Nothobranchius furzeri: one gene and its partner. The protein of the gene in region 1 binds, or shares a complex with, the protein of each later gene. Links are inferred from orthologs where the notes say so. Each region holds a gene or a part of one and is shown in the gene's direction. Other genes may lie near its edges.

Region 1 (4,328 bases):
CCAGAGTGGAACTTCCTTTCAGGGGGCCCTAAGGCGGCAGGCCTCCAACTCCAGCCAACAACAGCACGATGTAACCAATGTTTCTAGCCCTACACATGTAGCCTTTACTACTACTACCACTACTGCCACTGCTGCCAACAGCGCTTCTTCCACTGTGGGGTGTGAGTGCGTGTTCTCCTTTAGTGCATGAGACTTTTTTTTTGTTCCTTCCTCTAACATCTTTCTCTTCCACTCTTTTTCTCGCCTAATGTTCAACTTTTGCACTCTCATGCCTCCCCTAATGTCCCTCCCCCTTGTTTTCTTAAAAAAAAAATTAAAAATAAACCACCAAAACCACATCTTCCATACTGCTTTTATAACTGCTGTATTATACATAAATGTCCCCCTGTAACCAGGTTGCTTCAGTTGTCGAGGTGTTTTATTTGTGTCGTCGTGTTTTCTGTTCTGCTTCTGCATCGGTCTAAGTAATGGAAACTTTGTAGGGGTGGGGGGTGATGTGTGTTTTTCTATCTGATAAACATTTTATTCTGTATTGACGTTTACCAGGTTTGTCTGCAGCTGCCTCAGTCTGCTCTGTGCCTTTGTAGCACTCGTGGGTCTTTGTCGCAGCTCTCTAGTCCCTGGTGGGGTAAATGTTTTGAGTATACGCCCATGATCACGGCCTAAACTATGCAGATTACTCGGGACAAGTGTCCATGGTGAGATAAAGACCTCTTTCTTTCCAAATGTGGCAGTTTACTGTCAAACAAAATGTGCGTGTTGTGTCTTTGGATGGACCTCTCTACCAGCGCCCAGTGGCAACAACAAGCTGCTGTTGCCGGGTTACAGTTTGCTGCCATGTTTAGATGCAGGTTTTCATGGACTTTCACAAATTCCTCCAACCTTTTTCAAGCTTCAAGGCCTTCAGTGTGGAAAGTGGATCTGGATCATTTGTGGCATTTCCAAGGGCTGCTGCTGCTACCCCCCCAACACACACACACACCCTTTATGTACCCTCAGAAGAATAAGGAGTCTGTTCTTACTACTTTTTCCTTTTCAGACCCAACCAGAGCGACCGCCTCACCAGCAGTAGATCAGAAATGTCTCAGATGCAATAAAAGCAGCTTTATGGAACCAACGATTCCCCATTTGAATATTTAAACATAACTCATTTCTTTAATAGCTTACAGAAGGTTGTTTTTTTTCTGGCATATTTCAAAGTGTCTTGTCTGAATAATGTTTGAGTTTCTGTTTTAAGGTGGACCCCCTCAGATCAACGGTTACCTCCCTATTGAACCACCAGTTTCCTCTCAGGGGCTCTTTAAACATGTCTTCCTTTATGGGAATACCTGTTTTTTGTTGGCAGTGTGGGTCCATGTTGCATCCTGTTGCTAAATTAACAACCGAAGGGAAACAGAATGATGAAAATGCACACACTCCTGTTCAGGTTGTATGAAATGTGTCATGGGCTATACTCAAAGGTTTACTACTGTTGAACTAAAGGTAGCACCACGCTCTGCATGGGTTCTAAGTCTCTGGTCTTGTTTGTGAGTTCTTCTCTCTGTGCTGTTTTCCACTTGTATACGAGCTTGTAGACATGCTTGGCTGCTGCAGCATCTTTGTTTCTCCTCCACAAACATGAGCTGTAACAGACCCCCACCCCCCTCCTCTCTTTTTCTTTTCTGTCTTTCTCCTGTCTCTTTCTGTCTTCCTGATCTCTGCTGCTGTCTCACTCTTTGCTCTCTACTTAGCATGTCCTACAAAGGTAGACTTTTGTCCAGCTGCTGCCCCCTTTCTACGGCTAGGTTAGAGAACTGCTGTCCTCTTCCATCTTAATCCTATTTTGTAGTTTGATTAGTCCTCTAGCAAGTGTTTAAAACCACAAACGACCACATTTGTCACCGGTTCGTTCTCTGCTGTTAGATTCTAGTTTCTGAGTCGTTACTACTTCTAAATCTCCCAAATCAACTTTTCTGTAGCTCAGAGTTCTTTGTTGAACTATTTTGTGATTTGAACTAGCGGCTTGGTCCTTAGCTTGTTTTTTTGCCTGAGTGATACTGAGTTTCTGGTCTTTAAAGGGGGTAATGTTTGTTATATAAGTAGGTATAGTTTTCATCCGCTCGTTTCGGCTTTGTCCCAGAGACAGAAAATGAAAACAGAAATCAGTTCTGTGCTAATATGTTCGCTAACCGTTCGTATGGGTAGGGACGTCCCAACTCCAGATCACTTGTCTCACGGCTTAAAGATGTTCTAGAATAAACGCTCACTTGCACGTGTTTGAGAATATCCTCCTGGTTGTTGGCTTTGAAGCCCCTAAACCTTACCTGGAATTGAACTAATGAAGCCTCTGCGGCACGACCTGGGTTCTAACTTGGAAGTGTGTGTCATTACCCAATGTGAATAACGGCATCCTGTCTCCCTCCTTCCCTCCAGATCCGGGTGGTGAAAGCATTCCGCAGCTCCATCTCCCTCTATGAGGGGCTGGAGAAACCCGAGTCGAGATCATCAATTCACAACTTCATGACCCACCCCGAGTTCCGGATAGAGGACTCTGAGCCCCAGATTCCCCTCATAGATGACACAGATGCAGAGGACGACGCTCCCACCAAGCGCAATTCTGCCAGCCCTCGTAACGCAACGCCCACTCCCCCTTCACCCACGCCCTCGCCCTCACCGTCGCCCTCACCCATCACCACCGCTGTCCCCAGCACACCGGTCTCTCCCTCCCCAAACCAGAACAATAATGCTGTGGAGAGCAGCAACCACCTCCTTCCAGAGTGCCCCAAATCAGGAACCCCTTCAGCCCCAGGGAGCCCGCTACACAGCCTGGAGACCTCCCTTTGATCCAGCCCTGCTCTCCCTGTCAGCACCTCTTTTCTACCTGCCACCAAGGAGCTCCGCTCGGACTAAACGAACACTTGGAGAGACGAGACGAAGGGCTAGACTGAGAGCAGAGTCCTGTAAGAGCTTAGCATGAGCTGGACTGAAATAACAGCAGACATTCAGAGGAATGTACGGCTTGGTGCGGATGCTTTGGTTTTTGTTTTTCTCATTAATACCCTGCTGCAACACAAAGACTCGGTCTTCACCCCTCCCTCCTTGGTAACATTTGCATTTTCTGTGTTACAAAGGGGAGATTATAAACTCAGATTGAAAGTGACCTGTTTTCAGTACTCTAATATTATTGCTGTTTGAATCGAGATGGAAGTCCTCCGTGCACGAGGGCCGTCTGTAAGAACATGAAAGAACCTTTTAGCTTCTCTTATCTGAATGGTGTTGTATATTTAGCTCTTTGGCCCTTGCTCATTCAAAACTTATTTCTGCTCCATTGGCTGTTAATATTTTGAGTTATTTATGTTTTTTGGAGAAAAAAAAGCAGGTCTGTTTACAAAGTTTGTAGATACTTTTTTTCTGTTGGTAGGCAAAAGAGCTTCCTGATGTATAATGCAGAAACCTGGGACAGAATATAAATGAATGCGTGAGCTATTTCAGATACTGCTGTATTTTCAGGAAAAAAAAGGGTGTTTCTATTGAAACTTAAATATTTTTGCCTGCAAGTTTTATTTGTTATATATATATATATATTTGTAGATAAATATAGAACCGTCTAGCCAAACTGATGAACACAAAGGCTTGTATAGAAAAGAGGTCCAAGGGACGATGAGTTTTCACAGGAGACAGAGCGGGAAAGACATTAATGACCTCTGTCCACTAACATTGCTATAAATAATTACTACTTCCATTTGTTCAATAGTTATGTGCACAAAAAACCTTCTGAACTTCTAGATTCTCTTTTGATTCATTACGATGTGTTCAAGAATTTCCACATGTTGAAAGGTTTATTTTTAAAAGGGACTTTAGAAAATACCTGGGCCTGTACTTAGCAAGCATCTCACTTAGAATCCAGCTGAAAGTTGGGGAGGAAACAAATTTTTACCTCAAGTAGACACGGGGTCCTTTTTATGAAACCTCCCACTGTTGCTTTCATCCAGAAGAGGTTCTCCTTTTAGATTTGTGGAACCTCAAAGTGAAAATGTGTTTTTGTAGTTATCAGTTACACTCAGAAGTGGCCGATTAAAGCAGCAAAACAAACAACTTCTGATTTTAAAGCTAAAGAAAAAGTTTTTATATCACTTGAGTTGGAACTGGTGCTGCTGTGAGCTGCTCAGCCTCTGAATTGGTTTAGTTTTGCAGTCAAATGTTCATCATACACACTAAACATGAATGTGCCTTGGCTACAATAATTGAGACGATACTGGTCCCATCATGAACCACCTTCAGGAAGCTCCTTACAAATGAAGCGCACTTGTTTCTACAGCTAAAAGCAGGACCAAATAAGCTCATCTGGA
Region 2 (4,358 bases), on another chromosome or scaffold:
GATTATTCCTATTACCTGGATACAGAAGAGTAAAGTTAGACAACAGAAGGCCCATTTTGGATCCATGATGTATTTTGGCAGCTGTGGTTTGTCCCTTTGACTCATTTAAAAGTGGAGCTGTTGTCCTGCAGACCAGAGAGAAATCCCCTCACCTGAGAAAACACAAACAGCTGCTGTGAGCGGAGCATTAGTTCTTGCGGGGTGACATCTTCCTCCCTAATTGGCTCGCACCACTTCTGCGGAGCTGCCTTGTCAACGAGCACAAACCTTCCCTCCCAGTCTGTCATAGCACAAGCAAAGTACTGGCCATCGAGGAACAGCAAGATCAGCCAGACGACAGCAGGAACGAAACTGGAGAGGGACACGCTTTTCCTGCTCCAGGTGTTGCATCTACATCCTTGAATGATCAGCATCAAGGTGAAGGCCATGACGGCAGGAATGATGAAGAACGCGGATGAAAACACTCCGTTCCATGTAGGGCTGCAAGGACACTCAAACTCCAGCTCCACAAGCTTCTCTAGTCCCATGAGGATAAAGCCAAAAGCCACATTGGACACCAGCGGACTGTTGCTAAGTTCATTTTTCAGCCTGGTGAGCCATTGTTGTCTACTTTCCATACTACTGACTGGAGAATGAAGGCACCCGTGGTAAAAGAGGGTCCACCGTTGGGAACACATTGGCAACAGCTTAGTGATGCGTACATAACTCATCCAGGGGTAAGTTTTACCCGCAGGCCAAATGCCACACTTCCACTCTGATTGGTCCTGAACAAAGGGGGGGTGTGCCGACTGCGCTGACCTTTCTCTAGCTGATTGGTGTTTGGGAGGATTCAGGTGGGGTTACATTTTAAACGTGCGCTCCCACAGATAAACTGGAGGAAGGGCTTGCGAAGTGGAGGGAAGTTTGTTCTACAGCTGAGCGCTGGCATGTCCTCTGCAGAAAAACACGCATGGAGCAGACGTGCACCTCAGGAGAACACTTCAAACTCAAAAACTGACCTGCAGTTTCACATTCGCACCAAAAACGACTGATCAGATATTCTTGACTTAATGATCTGCAAAGTTCAGCCATAATACAAGTTATAGATAGTTAAATAATAAAGTGATTAGTGTTATTTAATCAAACTGGTCACCTGATAAATGGGACAAGTCACGCGCTGGAAGTTATCGGTTTACCTCAACTGACCACATGAGGGCGCTCGTGCAGCGGCGCAGGACAGAGACAGAGGACTACAGGAGGCCATGTTGAACTTTTATGGGATGGAATATGCAGTTTGAGAAGGCCACTGATGACATCATTTATAAATGACATCACTGAGCGTCCGTACAACGTCACTTTAGTTAGAAGAGGAAAGCACACTTGTGAGAAATTCACTTTTTATTAGCCAATTATTAATGGATTCATCCGTTTATTTGGGCTTTTCTGCAGCGTGTAAAACATTTGTGGATCCAGATGTGACGACAACACATTAAAATGACGTCACATTTGGGATTTTTATGGATAAACCGAAAATGTTTGATAAACAAAAGCAACAACGAGTTCACGTGTGTGTGTGTGTGTGTGTGTGTGTGTGTTTCCATCCGGCGTCGTGAGCGCACTGGGCACGCGCAGCCTGCCGTTGGTTCCCTGGCATCTGTTCATCCCGTGGCATTAAAAAAAGACCGGTCCGGTCCGGTGCCGATACCGAACTCATGTTTGGGCTCCATCTCTTGACGTCTGGGAATCATTTGTGCGCTACTTTCATTTTAATCACCGAGCCGTGACCGTGGAGGCGCAAATGCGCATCGGCGTGCGCATCTTTGAGTCTTCGGAACCTCGCCGTGGACGATCTCCCTGACATCCAAAGACACCGTCTGCGTAAGTCCCGACGAGGCTTCTCCACCGCCGATGGCCGCGCATCGGCTTCCCTGAAGCCGCTGGCCTGGTCCCGGACCTTCCACCCGCTGCTGCCCCGCTAGGGTCTCCTCATCAGCCGAGTGATTGTAAGACCCCGGTGCTATGCTGGGCCCATCTTTGTAGCTCCTGTGATTAATAGCAACACGACATCTCCTCCCACATTTGTCCGCCCGAGACCTCCCGGTACCCTAACGATGCATCCTACCGCCGTGATGCTGGCGGTGGTCCTCCTGGGGAACCCGATGCTGCCTCTCGTCTCCAGTCAGAACGGTAAGGACAGGTGTGACCGTTAACGTGGCACCGAGGGGAGGAGGCTTGTCTTGTGTGAGTGAGGTGTTGTGAGCATGCAGGTGCCTCATCCCGAGGCCAGGTACAGCTTATTGTCACTTTTTCACACATAAATTAGTGAAGTGTGGCGCTTCTGGAAGGGAGTGAGCTAACTGCATGGGCAATTCTTCAGGTTTGTTGTTAATGATATATTTAGACTGTTGATCCTGTTGATTGTTTGTCTGTTCGGCTTATAAATGATTGTTGTGGTTATACTTGTGCATTTTCTTATATCTGAGCAGCTATTTCTCCCATTTGGTCAGAAAAATGTCACCATGAATATCCAAAGTTCACCATCAATGAAATCCCAGCAGAACCATCATGGTTTGCTTTAAGGAAATGCCGCCTACTTGCTGCTGGGTGTTCGGGCGTGCTGTCTCCTTCTGACTGTTGAATCACACCACCCGCCGCAGCTGCACCAATCAGGAACCGTTCATGATGTCCAAAAAGATTCTGGGAAATGCTTTTTGGTTTCCTGGACGATCTAATAATCAAAGTTCTGCCCACATATTAAACACCGACGTGGATTTGGCCTTTAGAGACAGCTTTACTCTACGGGCGATATAACGATATAAATAATGGTGGATTTGAATGTGATGAAAGCAGATGAATAGACCCGTCACGTTCTCAGAAAGATGGACCATAGAGAAGGTTTCTACGCGGACTGTTTTAGATGCGACACTCTGCTTTACTCACAAACTGGAAGCAAGCAATGCTACGAATGCTACGATTTACGCAGAGATCTCCAATACTAGAGATGTAGACAGACAGTCGCCGTGTTAGCTACTCCACCTCCCATCATCCCCCAAGCGTGCTCCGTAGCTCCACGTCCTCTTTATACGAAAGTCAGCACACAGCACTCAGTCATCGATTCATCCAATCCATGTCAAGAGTTACGAGCCTCACCGCCGACAGGAAAGCCATTTCTTCGTTAATGCGGTGATGCTTACGTTCTCGTTTCCCATCGAGAGACACATGGGTGTTACTAGATTGGCTGCGTGTCCCAACAGTCGTGCTCCGTGTTTGGGTCTCACCAAAAAGTACATCCGAACTCGCTGAGCTCTCCGTTAAATCCACGATTGTTTCTGACGAGCCGGAGCAAAGATTTAGCTCTGCAGGTCGGTCTAGCCACGCTCCACAGGAGCCTCGGCAGGTCTACCATTGGTCTGAGCAGTTTTGTGTTACACCAATCACAGCGCTCTGTGGCTTTGGTGGGTGGGTAATGAGACGGCGCAAAACAACAAAGATGGCGTTGACCTGTGTGAAAGGGCTTTGGCATCCATATTTAGACTTGGGCTTTTCTTCGAGTCAAGAGCAGATGGAGGAACTTAAGTCCTTTATTTTATAGCATGCAAAGGCGGTTTAAAAGACAACCGCAGGCCCCGCCCCACAACTGCTCTCTATGGGTTGTGGCCAGACCTTTTATTCGCTAGGGCTTTGAATATTTTAGTATGTGAATATTTTATCCAAACCTCCATCGATTCACTGAATATTCTATTTGACGGCGTTTCAAGTGAAAGAAGATTATGGTCTGCTGCTAAAAATATAAAATAAAACAACACAATTATAAAAGGTTCAACAATATAATAAATTGGTGTCGTCGGGTTCCTTCTTTCCCAGCTGATGTTTATAATAAATAACTTTGACTTATCTTCCGTTTAAATATTTGGTTTAATATCATTCATCCTTGTCTAAACATATGTAAATAAAATCAAACATGATCAGTAGAATTGAATTACTTCATTAACATGTTCAGCAGTAAGCTACTGGAAATGCTAACGTGTAATTTCTGCAGTAACCATGTAATGTGGCATCTATTTCGTTACGTACGGGTTGGCAACATAATCCAGTCTAAGTTGCATTCACATACAGAAGTGTTTGTGAATTACATGCTACAACGGCTAGCCATAGCCCCGCTGCGGTGTGTGGAGCAGACTCGAGTCGCTGACTCTCAGCAGCAACGACCTGACTCAGCGGTTCTGCTCCACGCCGCCGCTGCCATCCACACATAAACGTAGAGTTTAGTCGTTCACAACCGTCACGTTTTTTCTGACCTCCGCCTGATCGTGAGCATGCTACACGCTAGCTTAGCATTAGCTAATCTGCCCGTAGTTTAACTCCTGCTCCCAAACTTT

Evidence for each region.
Region 2: the proteins of atp2b1a (region 1) and nptnb are in contact, whole or in part, in a cryo-EM structure (PDB 6A69), measured with the Homo sapiens proteins. The link is inferred for Nothobranchius furzeri from reciprocal best matches to the Homo sapiens genes ATP2B1 and NPTN. Residues at the interface, in NP_001353449.1 of Homo sapiens: Phe954, Asp955, Ile956, Asp957, Glu996, Arg997, Asn998, Val999, Glu1039, Gln1040, Leu1042, Trp1043, Ile1045, Phe1046, Met1049, Gly1050, Leu1052, Leu1053, Gln1056; in NP_036560.1 of Homo sapiens: Arg245, Ser246, Asn248, Arg332, Arg334, Pro339, Pro342, Phe343, Gly345, Ile346, Glu349, Ile350, Ile352, Leu353, Ile356, Ile357, Tyr360.

What each region holds. Positions count from the first base shown.
Region 1 is NC_091741.1:46,471,727-46,476,054, forward strand, and holds the end of atp2b1a (plasma membrane calcium-transporting ATPase 1), read left to right. Parts: coding exon 1-97; coding exon of another isoform or gene 98-161; intron 162-2,412; coding exon 2,413-2,823; 3' UTR 2,824-3,527; downstream 3,528-4,328. UniProt on the Homo sapiens protein: Catalyzes the hydrolysis of ATP coupled with the transport of calcium from the cytoplasm to the extracellular space thereby maintaining intracellular calcium homeostasis.
Region 2 is NC_091749.1:73,904,459-73,908,816, reverse strand, and holds the start of nptnb (neuroplastin b), read left to right. Parts: upstream 1-1,477; 5' UTR 1,478-2,090; coding exon 2,091-2,166; intron 2,167-4,358. UniProt on the Homo sapiens protein: Probable homophilic and heterophilic cell adhesion molecule involved in long term potentiation at hippocampal excitatory synapses through activation of p38MAPK. May also regulate neurite outgrowth by activating the FGFR1 signaling pathway.